Linked DNA regions of Yarrowia lipolytica. Each later gene encodes a partner of the first gene's protein in a complex. Links are inferred from orthologs where the notes say so. Each region holds a gene or a part of one and is shown on either strand. Other genes may lie near its edges.

What was found.
Region 2: YALI1_E28465g (region 1) and YALI1_F09265g share a complex: the UniProt entries of both Saccharomyces cerevisiae proteins name them as parts of the RNA polymerase I (Pol I) complex. The link is inferred for Yarrowia lipolytica from reciprocal best matches to the Saccharomyces cerevisiae genes RPC40 and RPA43.

Annotation. Positions count from the first base shown.
Region 1 is NC_090774.1:2,842,225-2,852,965, reverse strand, and holds YALI1_E28465g (uncharacterized protein), read left to right. Parts: upstream 1-6,433; coding exon 6,434-7,453; downstream 7,454-10,741. Other genes in the region: YALI1_E28504g (uncharacterized protein), read right to left, coding at 2,215-2,451, 2,502-2,558; YALI1_E28491g (uncharacterized protein), read right to left, coding at 3,532-3,732, 3,789-3,794; YALI1_E28490g (uncharacterized protein), read left to right, coding at 3,922-5,052; YALI1_E28439g (uncharacterized protein), read left to right, coding at 7,509-7,649, 8,894-8,959, 9,004-9,075; YALI1_E28428g (uncharacterized protein), read right to left, coding at 9,100-10,167; YALI1_E28425g (uncharacterized protein), read left to right, coding at 10,267-10,428, 10,476-10,691. UniProt on the Saccharomyces cerevisiae protein: DNA-dependent RNA polymerases catalyze the transcription of DNA into RNA using the four ribonucleoside triphosphates as substrates.
Region 2 is NC_090775.1:921,147-931,346, reverse strand, and holds YALI1_F09265g (uncharacterized protein), read left to right. Parts: upstream 1-4,790; coding exon 4,791-5,657; downstream 5,658-10,200. Other genes in the region: YALI1_F09314g (uncharacterized protein), read left to right, coding at 1-1,473; YALI1_F09289g (uncharacterized protein), read right to left, coding at 1,861-2,391; YALI1_F09282g (uncharacterized protein), read left to right, coding at 3,127-4,098; YALI1_F09230g (40S ribosomal protein eS12), read right to left, coding at 7,624-8,049, 8,262-8,264; YALI1_F09211g (uncharacterized protein), read left to right, coding at 10,195-10,200. UniProt on the Saccharomyces cerevisiae protein: DNA-dependent RNA polymerases catalyze the transcription of DNA into RNA using the four ribonucleoside triphosphates as substrates. Component of RNA polymerase I (Pol I) which synthesizes ribosomal RNA precursors.

The DNA of each region.
Region 1 (10,741 bases):
TGCTCTTCAAGTACGAAACATGAGACCAGATGGAGGTAGAATGTGTTCGTACGAGTATACATACTAGATATAGAGCTATTGTTGGTTTCTCCTCTGTTTTGTAGCCTCCCGTCTACTGCTACAAGTACACTACACTCGTACTGGTAGCTAAAAGCAAATGCCAGCCTTCTTTAGTCACACGCGTAAGAGGCTGGACTGTCTTTCCTGATGAGTTTGTTGAAGTACATAGTACAGCAAAAGAGACTGAGTTCGGTGTCTCATTCTTATTTTCAGGTAGATATTGGTATACTCTTGTAGTCCTTGCGATGGTTTTGGTACATACTGGTCAGTACATAGGTGCAAGTACACAGCCTAGTCTGAGTGTTGTAGTAGTTGTACAACCGAGGATGGGCCAGCAACTGCGAGTGGACTATGTATGTACTGTACTTGTAGAAAGGCTTTATAGACGCTTTGTGGCGGCTTCTTGTCATCTGCCGCTCGATTCAGTTTTGAACAGGCACATTTCGTGTCTCAGTATACGAGCTAACCTGGTAGTGTATATACTTGAACTTGTACACTGGTCCATCCTTTTTCGAAGTGGGTAAAACTGACAGAAAATGAATAAAGAAAAACAATAGATAATAGCTGACGCGTTTACACATGGGCTGGGTTGTTTCATCGCCCACAAAATACATTTGCGCCCTTACTCGTGTCCAAATTACTCTCACTCGAACTCCCCAGTCAACGGTCTCACATGCGATTAGCGCGAGGGGTGACAGGGGTGCAAGTCGCACAAACATGTAGCAGATGGAGGGGTGGCTGAGACTACGGGCCTGGGCTATGCTTGGCAGGGGTGGCCATGTGACGTAGGGAGCTTTTTTGTCAGTGTTGGAGCTGTTGGCGGTACATTGTTGGTTGTTTTCGGTGCATCTCCGACTTCTCCGAACCAAAGTCAAACCTGAGACAATTTGGCGGGGAGCTGGTGAGGAAGGCTGGACATGGTTACTGAAGAGGAAGACTCATGGGGGATGAAGAGGGAAAGGCATGAAAGAGGAAAAGAGCTGAAAAATGAAAAGAGCTGAAAGAGGAAACGAACTGAAAGAGGAAACGAGCTGAAAGAGGAAACGAGATGGATTGATGGAGAGGGAGAGATCTGGTCGGGTGATAGACAGCTATTATTCGGGCTTCTCATTCGGCTATTCGGAGATAAGACAAAAAACTGTTTTTAGCCCAATCTACGCGCTAAGGTCAATACTCCATAACCCGCCCAGAACCCGCCCAGAGTGTATCAGTCACGTATTCGAGAGTACGAGTAGAGTAGAGTAGCACTGGTGCACCCGTGCCCTTCATGTCTCTACATTTCGCCTCAAATCGCTCCAAACGGCACAGCAACCATGTAAAGTGAATCGGGGTCAACAGATGGTTAGACTGCTCAGCTTTAATTAGGGGGCTTCCAATTATAGCCTGGGAAGTCAGGGTCTAGCGGCTGTACAGTTACGTATTGTAGTCGGAAAAACGGAGAGAGCCGATTGAGAGCGACCACGGATTGATGTCATAACTCTTGCTGCGGTTTCCCCGTCTTTTTTCATCGCTTCTGGTGTCTGATTTCATTGGCTGGAAATGGCTGATTCAGTCCGCACAATCTTGTACACCACTGTAAATTTACCCGTTATTTCGGCTGGCTAAAAATACATGGCCAACCACACTGAGTTCACACAATCTGAGTTAAGTTGGAGGAGGATCAGACAGCAAAGCTACTGCAAGCTATAAATAGGTAATTTTGGGGGCTGAGGACGTCGGTTGCTGGGACGGGGAGAGGATATTGTGCCAAACAAACACGTGATTCGGCCTCTACGCGCCCCGCCGAGCTCGTCGGTACCCGATAAACGCGCTTTCCACGTCTTTTAGACCCAGAAAGGTGACCGAGTGCGTTGTAAATTCCATCCATGCACTCCCCAGAAGTTGCGTCATAACGTTAACGGGAGGAGGCTGTTTGGAGGTTGGAAAATTCCCAAGAATTGGAAAAAAAACTGGAAAAAACTGGAAAAACACCAGAAAAAACCAGACTCATATGTTTTTGCCCTTTTAACATCCTTTTATCTACTCTTAATATTCGAAACTGCTCCATTACGCCCGCAAATCTGCCTAGCATTTTGCTGGTCTGGAAAAAACCAAAAACGCATCGCAACCTTGACCGACCGTCGTTACCAACGTTGTTACAGATCCCCCTGAATGCTAAGAGATGGGGCAGTGGTCCACAGCAGCAGTCTGGGGCTGTATTTTGGGGCTGAAACGTGCGTGGTGATGGAAGGTGACTGCTGCAATCTCGCTGACAGCCCGAGTCTCACACGTTAATCCTCTCCTTAAAAGCACTGCCAAATAATATCCCAAGTGCGTGCGACACACACGACGGATTATTATCGTTGGTAAGCTGCAGTCAAGCGCACTGGAGACAATTGGAGCCACCTCGGACTAGCTAATGTGCAAAAAACACATGGTCCGGCATACGAAATGTGCAAGACACCGCGGTGGTGTGGCTGATTGGCGCCAACAGAGTCAGGTGATTGAAACATGCCCATCCAATGGTCGACTGTACGGTTGTACAATAGTCCCATGACCCTGTCAGATGGTTCTCACCACCCAGTGGTTACCCTCACACTGCCCCTCGCACTGCCGATCTCGAATCTTAACATTCCAGCTTGCAGGCACTCTCTTCGGGGCTCTGGCTCTGGACTGGCTCTGGAGGTGGCACGAGCCGCTTGGGGCGTCTAACTGGCCATTCAATTTAATTACCGCTTGCAGCTTGAAATCCTGTCATGTGACATTGCCGCGGTGTGAGCGATGACTCTCAGTGAGACGTGAATAATCCTGTGGCAAGGTGCAGTATCGTACTGGTACTGATGGGGGCATGAGAGGGTATATATAGACGGTTGGGAGTGTTTGGGAGCAGCTAGATTGACGTGTGAAGTTCCCCATCACAACATCAGCCATGTCACATCCCCAAAATACATATATATGTGCCCTCCTCGCGGCCACCAGCATCCCCTTCACCATCGTCCTCCTACTCACAACCCCTCACTATTTACCTCACCACCGTAGCTCCAAACCTTGTGCAGAAACCTTCAGGCTCAGCGCAGTGCGAAAAAAAAAAGCTTGGACGAAAAAAGGCAAAAGGGGAAAAAGGGAAAAAGGAAAAAAGGCAAAACGGCAAACCAAAACGAAACCACGGTTCAGGAGCTGCAATTTTCTTCATCCGGCATTTTCATTTCTCTACGCGACTTTTCACCAGCATCCAGTTGCACGACAACTTCCTCACCCCAGATACTCTTTTCTCATATCGAGAACACGCCGCCGAATTGTACTCCGTGCTTCTCCTGGACCACGACCCCGTACTTTCTCTCTCTCTCACACACAAGACTTTTACACTCACTTGAGCAGTTTCGACGCCGATTCGTTTCCCCTGTTTTCGACGACAGATACCGACTCTTCGACATACGCACAAGTACTTGCTACACCTCGACTGTGACACGACTGTGAACCCGTGAATCACCACTACAAGTAGAGACTTGTTACCCCCTCCCCCCAGTCACTAAAGCCGATTAAATCGTACAATCGACTCCTGACGTGACCCGTCCTCTCTTGGAATACCCGCCTCCGACCACCGACCTTGCACGCGCTGTTCCCCCGAGTACAAAACCTCTGGTTATATCGCTCACCGGCCCCGTTGCACAGAAGCACATTTTCCGTTCCCCCCTACGTCTAACTTCACATCTCTCTCTCCCGACTTAGTGCTTGTCTCCCAACCACACACACATACAAGCAAGGCTATTTTTAAAACAACCTTGTAGCCGGAAGAAAATCTAAACACGCGAGATCCAACAGAAAGTCAAACCGCAAGGCCTCACAACGGACCATCACACCAGTTCAGATTGAAAAACAAAAATGGTCGCCGCAAAAATCGTCTTTTCCACAGCGCTGCTGGCGCTAGTGGCCGGCGCCGCCACCGATGCAACCTCCAACAACGTTGCAGACCTCATGCAGAAAATTGTCGAGAAGGACGCTGTCCCCACCATCACAGACCACAGAGAGCCCCCGTTCGTGGTTGTTGAGAAACGACAATTCCAGGGCAACCAGGGCAACCAGGGTAACCAGGGTAACCAGGGAAATCAGGGAAATCAGGGCAACCAGCAGAACAACGCCACCTCCTCCATCCCCACCAACTCGGGCTCTTCCCAGGCAGGAGGCTTTTCTTCTAGCTCATCCCCGGGCTTCTTTTCATCCACGGAGATTTCTTCCACCGAGTCTAGCTCTTTCGCCGAGTCCACTTCCTCCGAGTCCTCCTCCCGGTTTGTGCCCTCATCCACCTCGACCTCCTCGGAGAGCTCCAGCTCTGAGATCTCTACGTCGACCTCCTCTGAGAGCTCCTCTACCACCGAGTCCTCTACCACCGAGTCCTCTACCACCGAGTCCTCCACCACCGAGTCCTCCTCCACCACCGAGTCCTCAACCACTGAGAGCTCCACGTCTGCATTTGTCCCCGTGCCTACCACGGAGTCATCCTCTGAGGCTTCTTCCTCTGCTTCTCCCTCTCCTACCTCGACAGAGTCCTCGGCCTCGCCTTCTCCCTCCACCACAGAAGGCCCCTCGTCAGAGTCTTCCACTGAAGTCACTTCCGACGCCGTGGTGTCGTCCACCCTAATCGACGCGTCCGGCGGCCGAACCACCGTTATCATGACCCTCACAAACACAAAGGTGACCTACGTCGGGTCCACAACCACTCTGCCTGTGGAGACCCCCACCGCAAGCGGAGTCACTGGCAACAACAACAAGTCTACGGGCTCGACCTCCCACACGGGCCGAAACGTCGGTATCGGTGTGGGAGTGGGTGTTGGTGTACCTGTTGTGGCAGCCGTCATTGGAGGTCTGTGGTGGTGGCGACGAAAGCGAGGAGGAGACACCCCCATGTACGACAAGGACGATCTCATCAGCGGAGGCGAGGACTCCAACGTGTTTCGATCCAACATTGACCAGTACCATGCGCCTAACCGGGCCAACTCCGCAGCGAACTTTTAAGCATGAAGAGTTCCACTCGAGCGCTTCCTTCCTTTCTTTCGCCTGCATGACATTGCGACCCAGTCTGATTGATTCAGACTGTCGGTCGGCTTTGGACCACTTTGCACTTTGCACATAGCTAGCCCAGCACATTAAAATACCCGGCACGTTACCCTTGCTTAACTGACCTAGTCAGTGGCTGTATTCAGTTAATAGATGATTTATGATAGACTAGATAGTGAGAGAGGTGTAGCGATGGGGTACGACAGTAGGGAGTCGCTGTTGATTCCACAGCCGTATGACGATGGGCAGTATCACCACATTGCGAAACCCATTGTGTGTTCAGCGATAGCGAGGGAGATATCTCATGAGGTGAAGTTGGAGGGATACAACTAAAAGCCATGCTCGAGCAGAGAGACATCAGGGTGCGTTGTTTTGGGTCTGGGAATGGCCATTTGATGGCTCATTCACTCTACAGGGAAGTGGAGCATTCCAGAACACATTCTTCTTTGGCCGACAGTCGCAGAAAGACAGTATTTTAGACGGTAGTTGTATGAGGGCAATGGGAAGGAATGAGAAGGATGTTTTAGAGATTCTGGAGATTCACAGTTTGAAAAAGGCTCACCCTACAAGGGCATGGAGTGGTCTTAGGTGCTATAGAACTCCAGTACATAGTTGTAGTGCTTGAAAGCTGCTGAAGGGGACTTTTAGGGATAGGTTCTTCCTGATTCCAAAGTCTTGAAAGACATATTGTCTATGACTACGTACATATTCATCTAGCAATGATAGTATCTACACTCCTCATTCAGTTCCTGATGAGAGATTGTGGCCTGTTACCCTTCAAGGAGATTACTGGTAGGTCACTAGGAGGCCAATAACAGCTCATTAACTAACTCCAAGTGAGTCCGAGGCCTCTATGATTTTTCTTTCAATTGAAAACGCCATCTTAGTCGTTGTGTCTTACTGGCGATGGCTATATGGCCTTTTCCTACAGTACCAATATATCTCCCTTAACCGCTTTACTACTACTCACAAACTACTTGGGTTTGTTACCACAGTTTAGTTATGTTGTGGCCATTATATATTAAAATATTATAAAAATATAATTATGGTTATAAAATTAATATATCCGGCTTTGTTCCTGTACTGCTCACTCAGAATAGAACTGTACAACTCCGCTCTGGTAAGTCATAGAAACATTCTGAAAAGTGCGTTTGGTTCCAAATCCGACAGGTAATTATATTATTCTCTTTTATCACCATGGAACTCTTTTTTCGTCCCTCTCCACCCTCTCAACCCTCATTACTAATCACCGTCTTCATGCACGTCCTGCAGAAAACTTTTTAGCTTTGAATCTTTTCTGCCGACCTTTTTATCCTCTACAACCACACAAAACCACACCATGACCAGCCTTGCTAACCGCAACATTGTCGGCATCGAGTCCGATCGAGTGACAAACGTGACTTCCACGGACTTCCCTGGCCACTGGCCTGGGGCCGACGACGCCTGGGACCTCGACAAGTTCGACAAGAACCTGCAGGTGAAGATCCATTCCCTGACCGACAATTACAGCAACTTTGACCTGATTGGCATCGACACGTCGCTGGCCAACGCCTTTCGACGAATCATGATCGCAGATATCCCCACCATTGCCGTCGAAGAGGTTTTCATCCACGCAAACACCTCCATTATCCAGGACGAGGTGCTGGCCCACCGGCTGGGTCTGGTGCCTCTGGTGATCAACCCCGAGCGAATCAACGCCCTGCCTCGAGGTCTGGACGCTTCCGAGATCGAGGACTACTACGACGACTCCAACACCTTTGTGCTGCGGCTCAATGTCACCTGTGAGCGACTGGCCGACGGCACCATGAAGAACGCCCACATCTACGCACGAGACATCACCTTTGATCCCATGGGCAACCAGTGCCAGTGGGTCAAGGACGAGGGGCTGGAGAACGTGTTCAAGGTCGCCAACCCCGACATTCTGATCGCCAAGCTGCGACCCAACCAGAGCATCAACCTGACCATGTTCTGCCATCTGGGTTTCGGACATGACCACGCAAAGTTTTCTCCCGTGGCCACCGCCTCCTACAGACTCATGCCCACCATCACCATCACCGGTGACATTACCGGTGACGAGGCCAAGAAGTTCCAAAAGTGTTTCCCCAAGGGCGTCATTGAGCTGGAGGGAGGCAAGCCCGTGGTGGCCGACGCCAGAAAGGACACAGTGTCGCGAGAAGTGCTGAGACACGAGGAGTTCAACGGCAAGGTCAAGCTCGGCCGACGACGAGACCATTTCATTTTCAACGTCGAGTCTTCCGGAGCTCTGGAGCCCGACGAGATCTTTCTCAAGAGCGTCATGGAGCTGCAGGCCAAGGCCCAGACGTTGAAGGCTGCTGTGAGTGGATACATGCAGCAGTAAGTGAGCTGGTCGAACCGCTAATGAGTAACACGCGCACCCAAGAGCGTAGCTGTTGATGGATCTTGTTGATGGTGTACATTGGGGGTACTTGCACGAAAAAGGCTGTCATTACACTGAGCTCTGTTCTACTACTAGTAGGATGGAAGGAGAAGGGAAAAGGATATATAGAGGAGGACTAATTGATAATGTAGCATATGTTGTATCCGTGGATTTGTATGTGGGACCGGAGCTGGAGATGGAGCGTAGGGTTCGGGAGTATAAGTGTGAATGAGAGTAGGATGCTGTTGTTCTTGTCGGTATAGTCGTTGTTCTTTATAACCGCCCCTCATCCGCTAGCTTCAGTATTAGTACAGATATAGCCCTGCCGACCACAGTTGTTGTAATACTTGGCCGCAAGTTTGGAGTCCGAAACCGAACATAAAAGGTCATTTATGAGTCGGAGGCGAATAAAACGATCTTTTACGAATCTACTGATGTTCTTCTCAACTCCATGTCTCCTACTGTAACTGCTCCACAAGTCTACACTGGCCAGAACATCCAGAACCAACAATTCTTCAACTATCGAAGAAAGAAAGAGATCTAAGTGATGAGAGACATCTATCGACTATCTAGTTGAACTCGGTAGACCAAACGGCCCTATATAGCCCTATATAGACTCCAATGGAGTAATGTATACGAGGTGTATAATGCCGAGGAACAGAACAATATATACTACATTTTGTACTCTGACGGTTAATAGGGTGTTTACTAAACGATAGACGACAGCGGAAATCTCTCTAGACCTTCTGCAATACTCCAGAGCGAATGTTGACTGTTTTGACCCTGACGTTTTTGTCCATACTCGTGCTCGGATAAATCCGCACTCGTTTATATGGCATCACTATTTCCGTCAAGAGAATCGCTGTAAGTAGACCGAATTGTCCACAGGGCCCTTCCAATTCCAACGGTTCTATCATCTTCACCCTCTGTCAAACAAAATATTTGAATATCAGTCACTGTACCTTTTCTGCGCATTTGTAACAACTTCTCCCTTCGCGATTATGTCCACTCCTCCACAATCCCACCGATAACCATCACCAATAGCCCTCTTTGGTCCAACCCCGCCTTCTAGCTCCTCTGGTCTTCTCTCTAGCGCGCCTTGGAGCTTTAGACCGCAGTTCCTGGACTAGAACCGGTCCACGGATGCCCCTAATGCCGCATTGGAGGAGTTCTATATGGGCAATATCTGACATTTATGAAGCGGAATAGACCCCATCCACTACGTGTAGGGCGAAGGAAACAACCACATCACTCTCTGGACAGCCACAGACCCCACTATCTGCTGTAGATGACCCTCCTACACCAAAACAAAACCGTTAGCATTAAATGTACACATTAAAATAAAAAGCCCGGGCTACTTGTACAGTAGCACCCGGGTATACTGGTGTTTTTTCGGACAAGGCGCTAAAAAACAAACGCGCCCGTCTCTGCTTTCTAACACCGCCTTGCCCCTCCAGAAACGCCAAAGTAGGTAACCCATATGAAATCCGTTTTTTTCATGACCTGTCCAGTCATATCATATCCATAGTTGCATCACTTTCGAGATTTTCCTCATGTCCTCCTTTTTTCCTCGGTCATCGTGAACGAATTACGCCCCCGCACGTGGTTCATCGCCTGAAAGCATACGCCTTGTGATACTGTGAGTAATCATCCAAAGGCTGGGTGCTCTGGCCCTGTGTCTGCTGTACCTGTGTGGTCTGTCCATACACATTCTGCTGCACAGTTTGCTGGACCGTCTGCTGCACATTCTGCACGCTCTGGATGCTCTGCTGTACCTGCTGCTCGTCGTAGTAGTACTCAGGGTAGTAGGGCTGAGCGTAAGGAGCAGGCATGGAGGTAGACAGGGATGACAGCGACGAGTTGACCGTGGCTGTCGACGTGGCTGTAGGGCCGCTCGGCTGGATGCAAGTGTCGCCAAAGTGGCCGTCGCGGTTTTCAAACACCACCTTGAACAGAATGCTGTTTTTGAACAGCATGTCTCTGACCTTGGCCCGCACGACCGGTGAGGTGATGTTTTTGCGGCGGATCTTGCTGAGTTCGGCCGCCACAAACTCCCACTTGGCCCGCTCGCCGTCGTCCAGCAGCGCCTTGAGACCCATGTTGTCCTCGGGGTCCCAGTAGACCGATCCGGAGCCTTGTTGGCCCATGAGCACCTGGTATCTGTTTCGGGCGGCCAGCGCGTTGTCGCAGTGTGCAGCCTCGCCAATTTCGTGCCATCCCTTGCCGGCCTTTTTCATGCTCAGAATGATTTTGTCCTGCTCGGACGAGTACTTGGACTTCTTTTTGGGACGGTCCGAGTTGGCCGACCGCATCACCTGCATGTTGGGGGGCACAGCGGCCGCCAGAGGGGGTAGCGATAAGGTGAGAGGGAGCACTAGGGGCGGAGTTTGGGAGCCATTGGCTGTCGGCGTGGGTGGTGGGCCAATGGGATTGCCTTCGGCATCTCGATTAACGTCCGTCACCAGCGCTATCGACGAATGCGCCTTGTAGTAGCGGGGGGTATCTGTGGCTGTCTGGGAGGTGTGGTCCAGCTGGTCTGCCGAGCGTTTGAGAGAGGGCCTGTCTGTGTTCATGACGGTGTGCATGTGGTCGTCGTGTTTGTGAAGTCGCGGTAGCGGCAGTCGGGGAGCCTCGTCGTAGTTGTACCCGTCATGGGGAGGGTAGTATGGGTGCATGGTTGGCTGTGTGTGCGAAAGCCGAGTAATGGCAGAGAAATGAACCGGGTCTAAGTTATTGCGATGAAAAAGATGCGGTATCTGGGTTGAGTCTGTCGAATGGCAGTTTGTGCACGGTCGTTAGTTGTCTGCGTCAAGTGTGTGTCTGAGCCTGGTGATGTATCTCTGTTGGGCAACTTGGTGAGTGCACTGGAGGTTGGTGTTTTTACTGGTACAGCGCTCACTGTAAGGTATCGTGTGTCTGTTAAGGTACGTTCTTCCGTCTGATATCGTATCTGGGTGTCTCGTACAGTGTATGTGAGTGTCAGGGGTGGCAGGTAGGTAAGATTGGTGTGGATGGGTTGTCAGAACGGTGGCTGATTGGTCGTTCTGGACAGTTGGTCGTTCTGGACAGTTGGTCGTCAGTGGTCGTCAGTGGTCGCCAGTGGAGGTTGGTTCTCGTCACAAAGCGCTGGCAACTAAACGTCTGGCAATTTCAACTCCAGTCTTGTGCCCACAGTCCACAGTCGTATGGTGAATGTTAGATCCCCTATTTCATGCACCTTGTCTGCTCCAAGGTTCGGTTTAGGGGGAG
Region 2 (10,200 bases), on another chromosome or scaffold:
ACAACTCGCGCCCTGCCACTTGCTCAGAAAATCCACCAAGCCAGTGTTTTCAGAAAGAACGATGATTTGGATGACAAGAGACAGAAAAATCCTGATTTCAACAGAGACAGAAACAGCAATGAAATGGAAAACCATGAGGACGGAGAGGAACACCAGAGGCTCGAGGCTGAACACTCAGCGGCCGAAGAAGACATCTCCGACGCCGAAGAACACATGGACGAGGAGGAACATAAAGATCACCAGGAAGAGGAGGACCCTCATCACTTTGCATTTTCAGACAATTATTCGGAGGCCGTTCTGGGAGGCGAAATCTCGGCCACGGTTTTTGATGTGACAGGCAAGGTGGTCCACGTTGCACACAAAATGACCAAGTATGAGTTTCTGCTGGAACATGGCCTTTACCCTCGAGACTTGAGAAACATTGATCCCAGCCCTGTTTCTATTATTCCTTCGATTCTGGCACGAGGTCGCAAGGGAGCTGGACGATGCATCCTTGTCAACTTGTTACACATTAAGGCTCTGATTCTCCACGACAAGGTGCTTATCTTCGACACCCATTCCAAGAACAAAAGTGATACTCACCGACTGGGCATGTTTCTGTACGAGCTGGAGAACAAGTTGAAGCCGACAATCAACCCAGAAAAGATGCATACGGACATGACGGTGCTGCCGTTTGAATTGCGAGTACTGGAGGCGATTTTGGTCAACGTTATGACGACTCTGGATGGAGAACTTCAGGTGCATCTTAAGACCCTGAACGAGATTCTGGTGGGTCTGGAAGATCATGTGGACCGAGAACAGCTCAAGGAGCTGCTGATTGGAAACAAAAATGTGTCGCGATTCTACCAGAAGGCTGTTTTGATTCGAGACGTCCTGGAAGAGTTACTGGAGTCAGATGACGATCTACAGCAGCTGTATCTGGGCACTCACCCGAAGGAAGGGCTTGCGGAAGTCGAGCTGCTGATTGAGTCGTACTGCAAGCAGGCCGATGAGATTGTCCAACAAGCCTCCAACGTGCGATCTCACATTCGATCAACCGAGGAGATTGTCAACATCATTGTGGACGCGAATCGAAACGCTCTGATGCTGTTGGAGCTCAAGGTGACCATTGTGACGGTCGGTTTTGCGGTCGGGGCCTTTGTGGCTGCGCTGTACGGTATGAACTTGGAGAACTTCATTGAGGAAACCAACGAGGGAATGGTTCTGGTGGTGGGTGTGGCGTGTCTGGGCGGTCTGCTGGTAACGTGGTTCAACCTTACCAAGCTACATAAGACGCAGAAGATTGCCATGTTCAGCAACGCCGCTACCCACACTGCCAGCAAGCCGTACATGTTGCAGTGGATTATCGGTTTACTGAGAAGAAAGCGAACCAAGAGCAGGTTTGACAATATCGACATGAGCAGACCAAAGATGAAGGGCAAAAAGTCCAACATTCTGCATCAGTTGACCAAGATGACGGGCAAGAGGAGATAGATAGACGTAGACACCATGCACAACAACTCCCCTTATTTATAATAGATATAGACGGTACATATAACACATTGAATGAATACAGTAGGTCCTTTTTCAGAGCATATCACAATGGCGCAGAGGTATTCTACTTGAGTAAAACTGACAGATACATAAGGGTACCACATCACTTACTGTACTGTAGTTGTACTTGTAACGTATTTCAGTCATTCAATACGATAAGTCCATTTATTTACACAGTCTGTCTACACTTGGAACGTTGGTGGCATAGTCAGAGGTAGCGTAGCCAGAACGGTACCTTTCCACAGTATGGCCAACGCAATGGAGTGGCAGTGTCATGGCAACCAGACTGGATGTTGTCAGCTCATGACCTATGGCCATTTGCTTCCGTTACAATCCAGTTAGTCGCTCCGCAGCAAGATTCACATCTCCACTCAAAGCCTCACTTGATCCCACGAACCGTTTAATCTCTCCCTGGATGTTGTCTCCCACTCCGTCGGCAATGAGAGCCAGATCTGGCCGGATGTGTTTGATCACGTGGATAACTCCCACGTCTGTGTCGCACCGAATCACCTTGACGCCATGATCGTGTCCCACGCTCGATTTCAGAGCCCGATGGAACTTGTTGGCAACCATGGGAGGCACAATGACCACCAGGTTGGGATGGACGCTCATCAGATGCTTGAAGTCGACCAGCTGCGATTGAACCAGCTCCTGTGACACCACGACGGTGATTTTGCTATTGGTGGCCGTCGACTTGGGGCTCTTTGTGCTGGACTTGGACGAGCTCTGTACTGAACTATCAAATGTGTCTTGGTCTGAGTTGCTCTTGGCAACAAACGAATAAACGAGGTATGCAACTGCGGCGGCGGCAGCTGCGGCCCCAATGACAGCGGGCAATCGTGTTTTTCGCGGGGCCATGGTCGTAACAGGGAGATGTAGTGTGAGGTTGCAAGGGTGTGAGGTACAGCGGGGGACTCAAGGTTTGTTGGGGTACTGTTGATGCGCAATGTACGTGATATCGGCAGCTAAGGCGGGAGGTTGTGACTTGGGTAGGAGAGGAATATAAGGGGTTTGGAAAAGTATCATCTGAAAACAGGAAACGCGCTAGATATTCTTGTGTAGTCCGTTTGCTAATCAGACTACCACATATTCAGTTTTCATCAATACAACAGAAACAAGACTCTCGTTAAACTTTCGGGAGAACCCTCCTACAAACCGTGAGAAGGGTACGAATACCGGTCACTGACTGTATTGAGAGATACAGGTTAAGAGTGTATGAAAAAGAAGTGCGCGATATTCTTGTTATCCCGGATCACGAGATTGAGGCTGAATCCGGCTCTTTTGGCTTACCAAATGGCCTACAGTAGCTACTCACTAACCACGATAACTGCAGCCAGCTCGCACATGCACCTCGGCCCAAAGGGGTTATACAAGTGTTGGATAGTGGATAATATATGGAGCATGACAGGCGGGTCACGTGGTCATTTATTACGGAGTATATATCACGTGTCTGAAGTAGAATGAAAGTAGTCACGTGGTCACAAAAAAAGTAGAGAATCACGTGACTCTTTCCAGACGACAGACACACACAACAACAACAACAACAACAACAACAAAAAAGTGGCATGTACAAGTAGTCCCTTCGCTTCTTGCATGCTTTGGCTCTGGAATTTAACTCTGATCAGATCAACTCCACCTCACATGCCAACACTGCTCTTTTCAGGAACAACAACATGTGTGTCGCACTTGTACACGATTCTCAAGGCGATTGCGCTCATGTCCAAGCATGTGAGTCTCGAAATCATGTCTGACGGGTTCAAGTTCACCGTGGATGTGGACAGCAGATCCAGTCAGGCCGTGGTGCTGGTCAAGAAAAACCTGTTTTCGATGTACAACTTCAACGATCAGGATGCCGAAGGATCTGATGACGAGCCCGCCTTCTTTCCACCCTACAGATTGTCTCTAGCTTCGCTGACCACGTGTCTCGAGATGTTTGGCAAGAATGACGTGATTAGTGACAAAGCGGGAGGTAATGCTGAGGACCGAAGAGTTGATTCTTCGGGAGCATCGCAGACGTGTCGAATCCTTTACTCTGGGCCAGATCACCCGCTCAAATTCGTGTTTCGAAACGACCAGTTTACGACTTCGTGTGAATTTCTGAATCAGGATACAGACAAGCAGTCGGAGAGTCTGAATCTGGACCCCAGCGAGGTGGTTCTCAAGGTGATTCTGTCGGCGCATCTGCTGACCCAGGCTCTTCGTGATTTGGAAGGTGCCAAGTCGCAGTATGTGCGGATAATAGCTCAGACTAGAGCGATTCCTCATTTCAGATTGGAGAGCACGGGCGAGTTTGGACGCAACGTGATTGCTTATCCTAACGAGAGAAATGTTTTGGATACCTTTGTGATTGACGACCCGGACCAGGATCCAGAGGGAAACGTCATTGTACAATCGGGATACCTATTTGGTGAGCTGGTCAAGTGCAGAGAGGCCGTGGGGGTCAGTGAAAAGGTGTGTCTGCGAATGGACGTGTACGGGAGACTGTCGGTTCAGAGTATGTGTGTGGTTGATGAGGCCAGGAAGACGTTTGTGGACTTTCGGTTTAATGCTCATGACGAATATTAACGGGAGTACAAGCCTAAAGGTCTGAATGGACAACTTCGAATGCACTGCTTTGGACATGCCATTAGCGGGCCACCTGTGCATTACTGTAACTGACTGCACAACTTGTCACTTCAAGACATGGGCATATAACTATCCTTGTGAAGAAGCCTTGACCGCTGTCCAACAATGTCAATCCGCCAAATCGCTAACCTGATTCCATACGATACCCCACTCTTTCTCGCCGCTCTTCACGGTGTTGGAGCTGAACTGTTTGATGGACCCTACTACAGACATGCCACTCATCTTCCTACGATGGAATACTCAATTGCAGTCACCTACAGATGTGCTAACATCTCCTACAAGCAGACACAGCTATATTGGGTGATAGATTTCCCGCGTTATTTTAACTCTCTGTGACCAACTGCTCGCTCCTCCGTTCAGCCTCGTCACTACCACCAGCTTCTCGCGGGCTGTGGTATAATCGACATGGTGCTTCTTCACATCAGTATCGATTCGCTGACTAATCCGCCTCCACCACCGCCACAACATCATAAAACTGACTAATCATTCTCAGCTATGTCTCCCAGTCCTGTCTGCGTCCTGCTGGCTGCAGGTTTGACAAATTTCCTCCCACCATGCATGTTCACGTGACCAGGAAAGGCAAAATTTAAAAATTTGGAATTTTATCCTGTCTGCAAAAACACCCCAACGTCATGGTCGCCAAAACGATTTCGGAGACGCAAGAGGTGCTGAAAAGCATGGCTCTCAAGCGTAAAAACCCCGTCGACTCGGCCACCGGAATCTCCGAGTGTTTCCACAAGGTCTCGACCTCCATGTATGTGTCTCTGGCGCCCATGTTCAGCCAGAAGCCCGTGGCTGGCATCAAAAGCCAGCATCTGGACCCACTGGTGGCCCGCTACTTTGCTCCTGCGGGCGGCGTGGTTCTGGCACATTACAACCTCAAGCTGTACAAACGGGGAAGCGACTCTGAGGGCTCTGCTGTCATGGGCAAGTTTGTCAACGAGTCCCCATTCACCTTCATGTGGATTAGTACAGACCTTCTTGTGTGGAAGCCTCAGGTCGGCGACCGTCTGGAGGGATACGTAAACATGCAGACTCCTTCTCATATCGGTCTTCTTGTCCACGACACCTTCAACTGTTCCATCAAGTACGCCAACATTCCTGAGGACTGGGTCTTCACTCCCTTTGCTGAGTCAGGACAGCCGACAGCCGCCAAGAAGGACCGAGTTCGTCAGTCCATGGGCTACTGGTCGGACGGCTCTGGCAAGCGAGTCGAGGGCAAGCTGGAGTTCATCATCAAGAGCGTTCACACTGCCAACATGGTTTACCTGTCTGGTTCTCTGGTTGATACCTATCCCGCACAGTCAGGGGGCGCTGTGAGCGAAGAGCCCCAGCGAAAGAAGACGAAATTCACAGACGAGGATCCCATCGAGGAGATTGCCGAGGAAAAGGCAGAGGAGGAAGATAAGGAGGTTGAGCAGAAGGAGGAGGACGCCGCACAGGCCAAGATTGGCTATGATAGCGACAGTGCTGCAAGTGACGATAGCGACAGTGATTAGAGGAGGAGAGCGAGCTGAGATAAGAAGCGAGCTGAGGCGAGGGAGCTCAGAAAAGCAATGTTGAAATGAGCACGTTCAGAAAAAAGGAGGGCATAGAGTGTATATATAACTAACGGTGAGAGGTGGAGGAGGGATGAGTGCTCAAGCGCTTGTTTTTCTACACTTTTTAGTATATCCTAGGTGTGTGTAGATGTGTGGTATTGTACTTGTGTTGAAAGTCTTGCTGTAGTATATACTGTGTTTAGTGTCTCTCATGAATGTTCTCATCACAATAGAGGTGCACCATAGAAGGACGAGTATACTAATGAATGGATAAAAGTGCCAGACAGTTGTGAGACGTTTGCCGATAATACATCCGGGGTGTTTCCGACTACAATACAAGTACAGCCTGAGTATTGGTTGCCTTTCAGCTACAGTTTGATGACACTTAACGACCATTACTCGCAAAGTTATTATTACATGTGGTACTCTAAGGTATGCCAATCTACTCGCATTTTTCGTTCTGAATACTATTTGGTTTATTTTTGCACATCTTTTTAGTACTAAAAGGTCCAGTTATCAGCACTTTTTTTCACTCGATCAAGTTCAGTATATCCCAAGTGGGACTGTTATTGAAACCTTGCATTTAGTTGCATGACAAGTGCATGACAAGTGCAACCAACAAGATTTCGTTAAACGAGAGCCAATACAACAAGATGTGATTACACGGTGGTGGTTGGCATAGCTAGAACATGATCAAATTGATGAATAAGCACTATGAATTGGGTAGTGTTATCTTTCTTTTTTTGGTTTATTGCAAGTACTTGTACTTTTACAAGCACAAGGAGTGGAACATATGCTGTATCGATACAGTTAGTGTAATACTTGCTATGGTGGAAGCTAAAAGGATGGTCTAGAGGGGATATCTAGAGCACTTGTACTTGGACTTGTATATGGAGGGCAGAGAACCAAGTGTGGAGTTGATATCAAGGAAGCTATATCTATTGACTGCAAGACTGCAAATTCAGCGTTTGAATTTATCGACCCCTGGTCCATTGCAACTGCTTCTTTAGGTGTTGTTCATGGTCCATTGATATGGCCTGCTGCCAATGATGGAAAAGGAAGAGTCAATGATAACTGAAGAGGGGATATGAGATTTGTTTCAAAACAGGAACTCGAAAAAAGAGCTGTTTCTTTGTTATAGGGGCTTCTCTTGATACACTATTGACTTTTCTATTCAGTAAAATAATACAAGACTACTGAATGTATCATATATTCATGTTTCATTAAGATTTTTAGATCTTTTATATGTTTTTATATAGGTATGTACTGGTACAAACCGAATTATGTTCCACCAACACACAATTCATGTCCAGAATGATTTGTACTAACACTGGCGAATAATACAGTATGTACATCAATAATCAGTGTGGCGTCCGTGAGACTCAATTGTATAACATTTATCACCACTTGTCTCGTTAGAAGTGTCAGAAGGAAGCACTATCACAGCTAGATATCGTCGGGTAGAGGGCTGTGTAAGGCTATGGCCATCTACAGTATATAGGAAGCAGATAAGAGTTCCATAGATCATGACCCTGGTTGAACTGTCATCAGCGAGTCTCACTGACCGAGAGGGTCCCGAATGTGCACGGCTTTCAGAGTATGTGTCTCCCTAGCTACTTGTACAGGAGGTTCTTCGGCGAATACGATGTGCCGCAGAAGTCCTACATTGCAATTAACAACATCCTTGATACACAACTGTGTTGATGTATGTCTTCCCCGATCCTGAGACCGTCATTCATCAGTGCCACAGCAGATCTCATGGTTGTGGTACTGTATGACATGTGCGATACATACAGCCATGCAAAACTTTTCTTACTGCCATTACACATCTCCAATCACTCGCTACTCTTACATGTCTACAATCTCTCAGATATTAAATAAGCCATGTGGCATTTTATTGCTTACGCTTTTGATTGCAACGCATTTACTGAGAAGCAATGGAGTCGAGGAGGAACTGTCGAGCCTCGGAGTCCTCACCCCAGTTGGTGATGACGACACAAGAAGCACCGACGACCTTTCGGGCGTTACCCTCTCGGTCGAGCTGGCAGAGACCAGCCCACTCACCGAGCTGCTTGGCATCGGGGACCTTGACAAGGGGGATCTTCTCCTCGGGCTCGTTGCAAAGAGCCTCAACGAGCTTGAGGTAAGACTCGTCGGTGACAGAGTCACACAGGACACAGAGCTCGGCCTCTCGTCGAGAAAGGGCCTTAGAGCACTCTCGCAGACCTCGGACGAGACCGTCGTTAATGACAGCCTTCTTCAGGACGGTCTTGAGGGCATCCTCGAGGGTAAGTCCTCCGGAGGGAGCAGCGGCGGCAACCTCAACTTCAGCGATAACTTCAGAATCAGACTGGGTTAGAATGATGGCAGCGAGTGATTGTCGTTTGTTTCGACTTCGTTCGGATAACGATTTGGATGCTTTTTGAGCGACCTCGAGAGATTATGTCAATGATTTGCTTCATTTTTCCTTGCAAATAAATGAGACAAATCCCATAGTTTCTCCATTTGGATCGCTCGACATCCTCACCAAGATGGCCTCGTGATTCCCTCTGTCATACTCACCATTTTTAAATGGACTTCCTCACAATTTCTGAACTGTTCAGTCTTGTTGGAGAGTTATAACGTCGAAAAGTTTCATTATTTGGGTGAACGCATGTGTGACTGTTTTCCCGATTGGGAAGTATCATGTGACCTGGTGACGATTTGGGACGGCTGCAGTTTTGGGTGTCGTGGGTTCGATTCGTGGTGTCGTAGTATTAAATTATTATCTGGAACACACTACACAGATTCACCGTATTTCCGGGCATGAAATAATGTGACTGTCTCGATAAAAATATATTTATTCAAAAATCCACCCTAGATCCGCGTCCACACGTGCTCTTAAACTTCCTGATCATGTCCGTGCAAAAACTGTGTTCTGAACAACCCCAACAGTCGAACATTTACCTACAGTTCAAGCCTTTTGTAAGGCGATTGAACTATATCGGGAGCTCCAGATAGACCTCAGTCAGCCGTTTAAAATACATATTCCGGTAGCCCGTAGAGAGACAGGGAATGTAAAGTGACTTTCATTTATTTTTCGTGCTACCAATTGACACACCCCATAGCTGCTACACCAAGTGCAAGTACATACTGCACCGGTGTGTACAGGTACTTGTACAGCACAGTGTGTATAGCCCCTCAGTCGCTTCAACAAACGGAAGCAGCCGCCCAAATACACTGAGAATGATACCAACTTCCGCTTTCTCCATTTGCTCCCATTGTTTGCAGTTTTGTTGATTCCTCAAGCCGTCCTATGCACTTCGTATTCGTCTTGAGACCGAGTCTCAGCAAATGAAACAGGCTGCTGCTGACCCTGCACACGAGAGAGGTGCAGGAGGAACATATCTCACCCAAGACTGAGACATGGGCCCATGTTGGCGCACTCGCAGCGTGTTTTACTCTTTTACTCTGTTGTTCTACCCCCATATGGAAGTGGTTGCATGAGACATAGTGTAAACATGTGAAGATACAACCACTGCACTTCAGGCGATGGTGTATTGCAACAGCTGGTTGCCTGGGACCCTTTTTTCGGAGTGCACAGAGCCGGATAAACAGACAAAAAGAAATACTAGCAGCCATTACTTCTTTTTGTATCGCCCCTTGTCTACCAATATTGAATTCTACTGGCCCCTCTAAACGAGCGTTAAAAAGTGTATCTGAAGCAGCCAGGGTCGATCTACAAGAGTTCGCTGCGGGACGAAAAAGAACAGTCTCTGACCTTTGTCTCGGACAAAACTCGGAGAAATCCAACACCTAAAGTCCACATAACTTCCATCAGTGCTTGTGTGGTGCTGCAAGTAGCTCCGAGACAAATGTGCGGTGAGACCTTGTCTAGTCGATTAACGAGGTGTTCCCGCCATTTGGCCGAGAAATTTTAACGGCGTTGAGTAAGACATGTTTTCGGGTTTGTCGAGTAATTACGGTCTGTCTATGAGTAGACATGAGACATTGGTTTGAGGTGCGACACTGTTACGTACATACTGTATCTATGGTATTCACCGTCCAAGTACACACGGACCGCTTGTACGAGACTACAGATCGCCTTAGATCCGCCGTTGCTTGTGCACATGAGGAATGTTGCTGCTACGAGATTATGTGTACTTGTATATCATTAATTTAATTCATTTTAATCTCATAAACCTCCATGCCTTCAAGCCTATCATCCTCCTGTGTGAGCAAGATCTACAATCTCCACAGTGGAGACATTCTAGCGAGCATAACGGGTTTAAGCAGTTGAAGGTATTGAAAATTGGGATCACATTTATTCTTTTTGTGTGTTTTTTCTGTTTTTTATTCAATTTTCCAGAAATTGCACTGAATACCGCCATTTTAGTCACTATCTCTCTCTTTCGGTATCTTGCCTAACATTTCCGGTCATGCACTGCGAACCCAAACCACCTTAGGCAACATCACCAAGTGGTACGCGACTACACATCACCACAGCTGCGGGACCATGAAC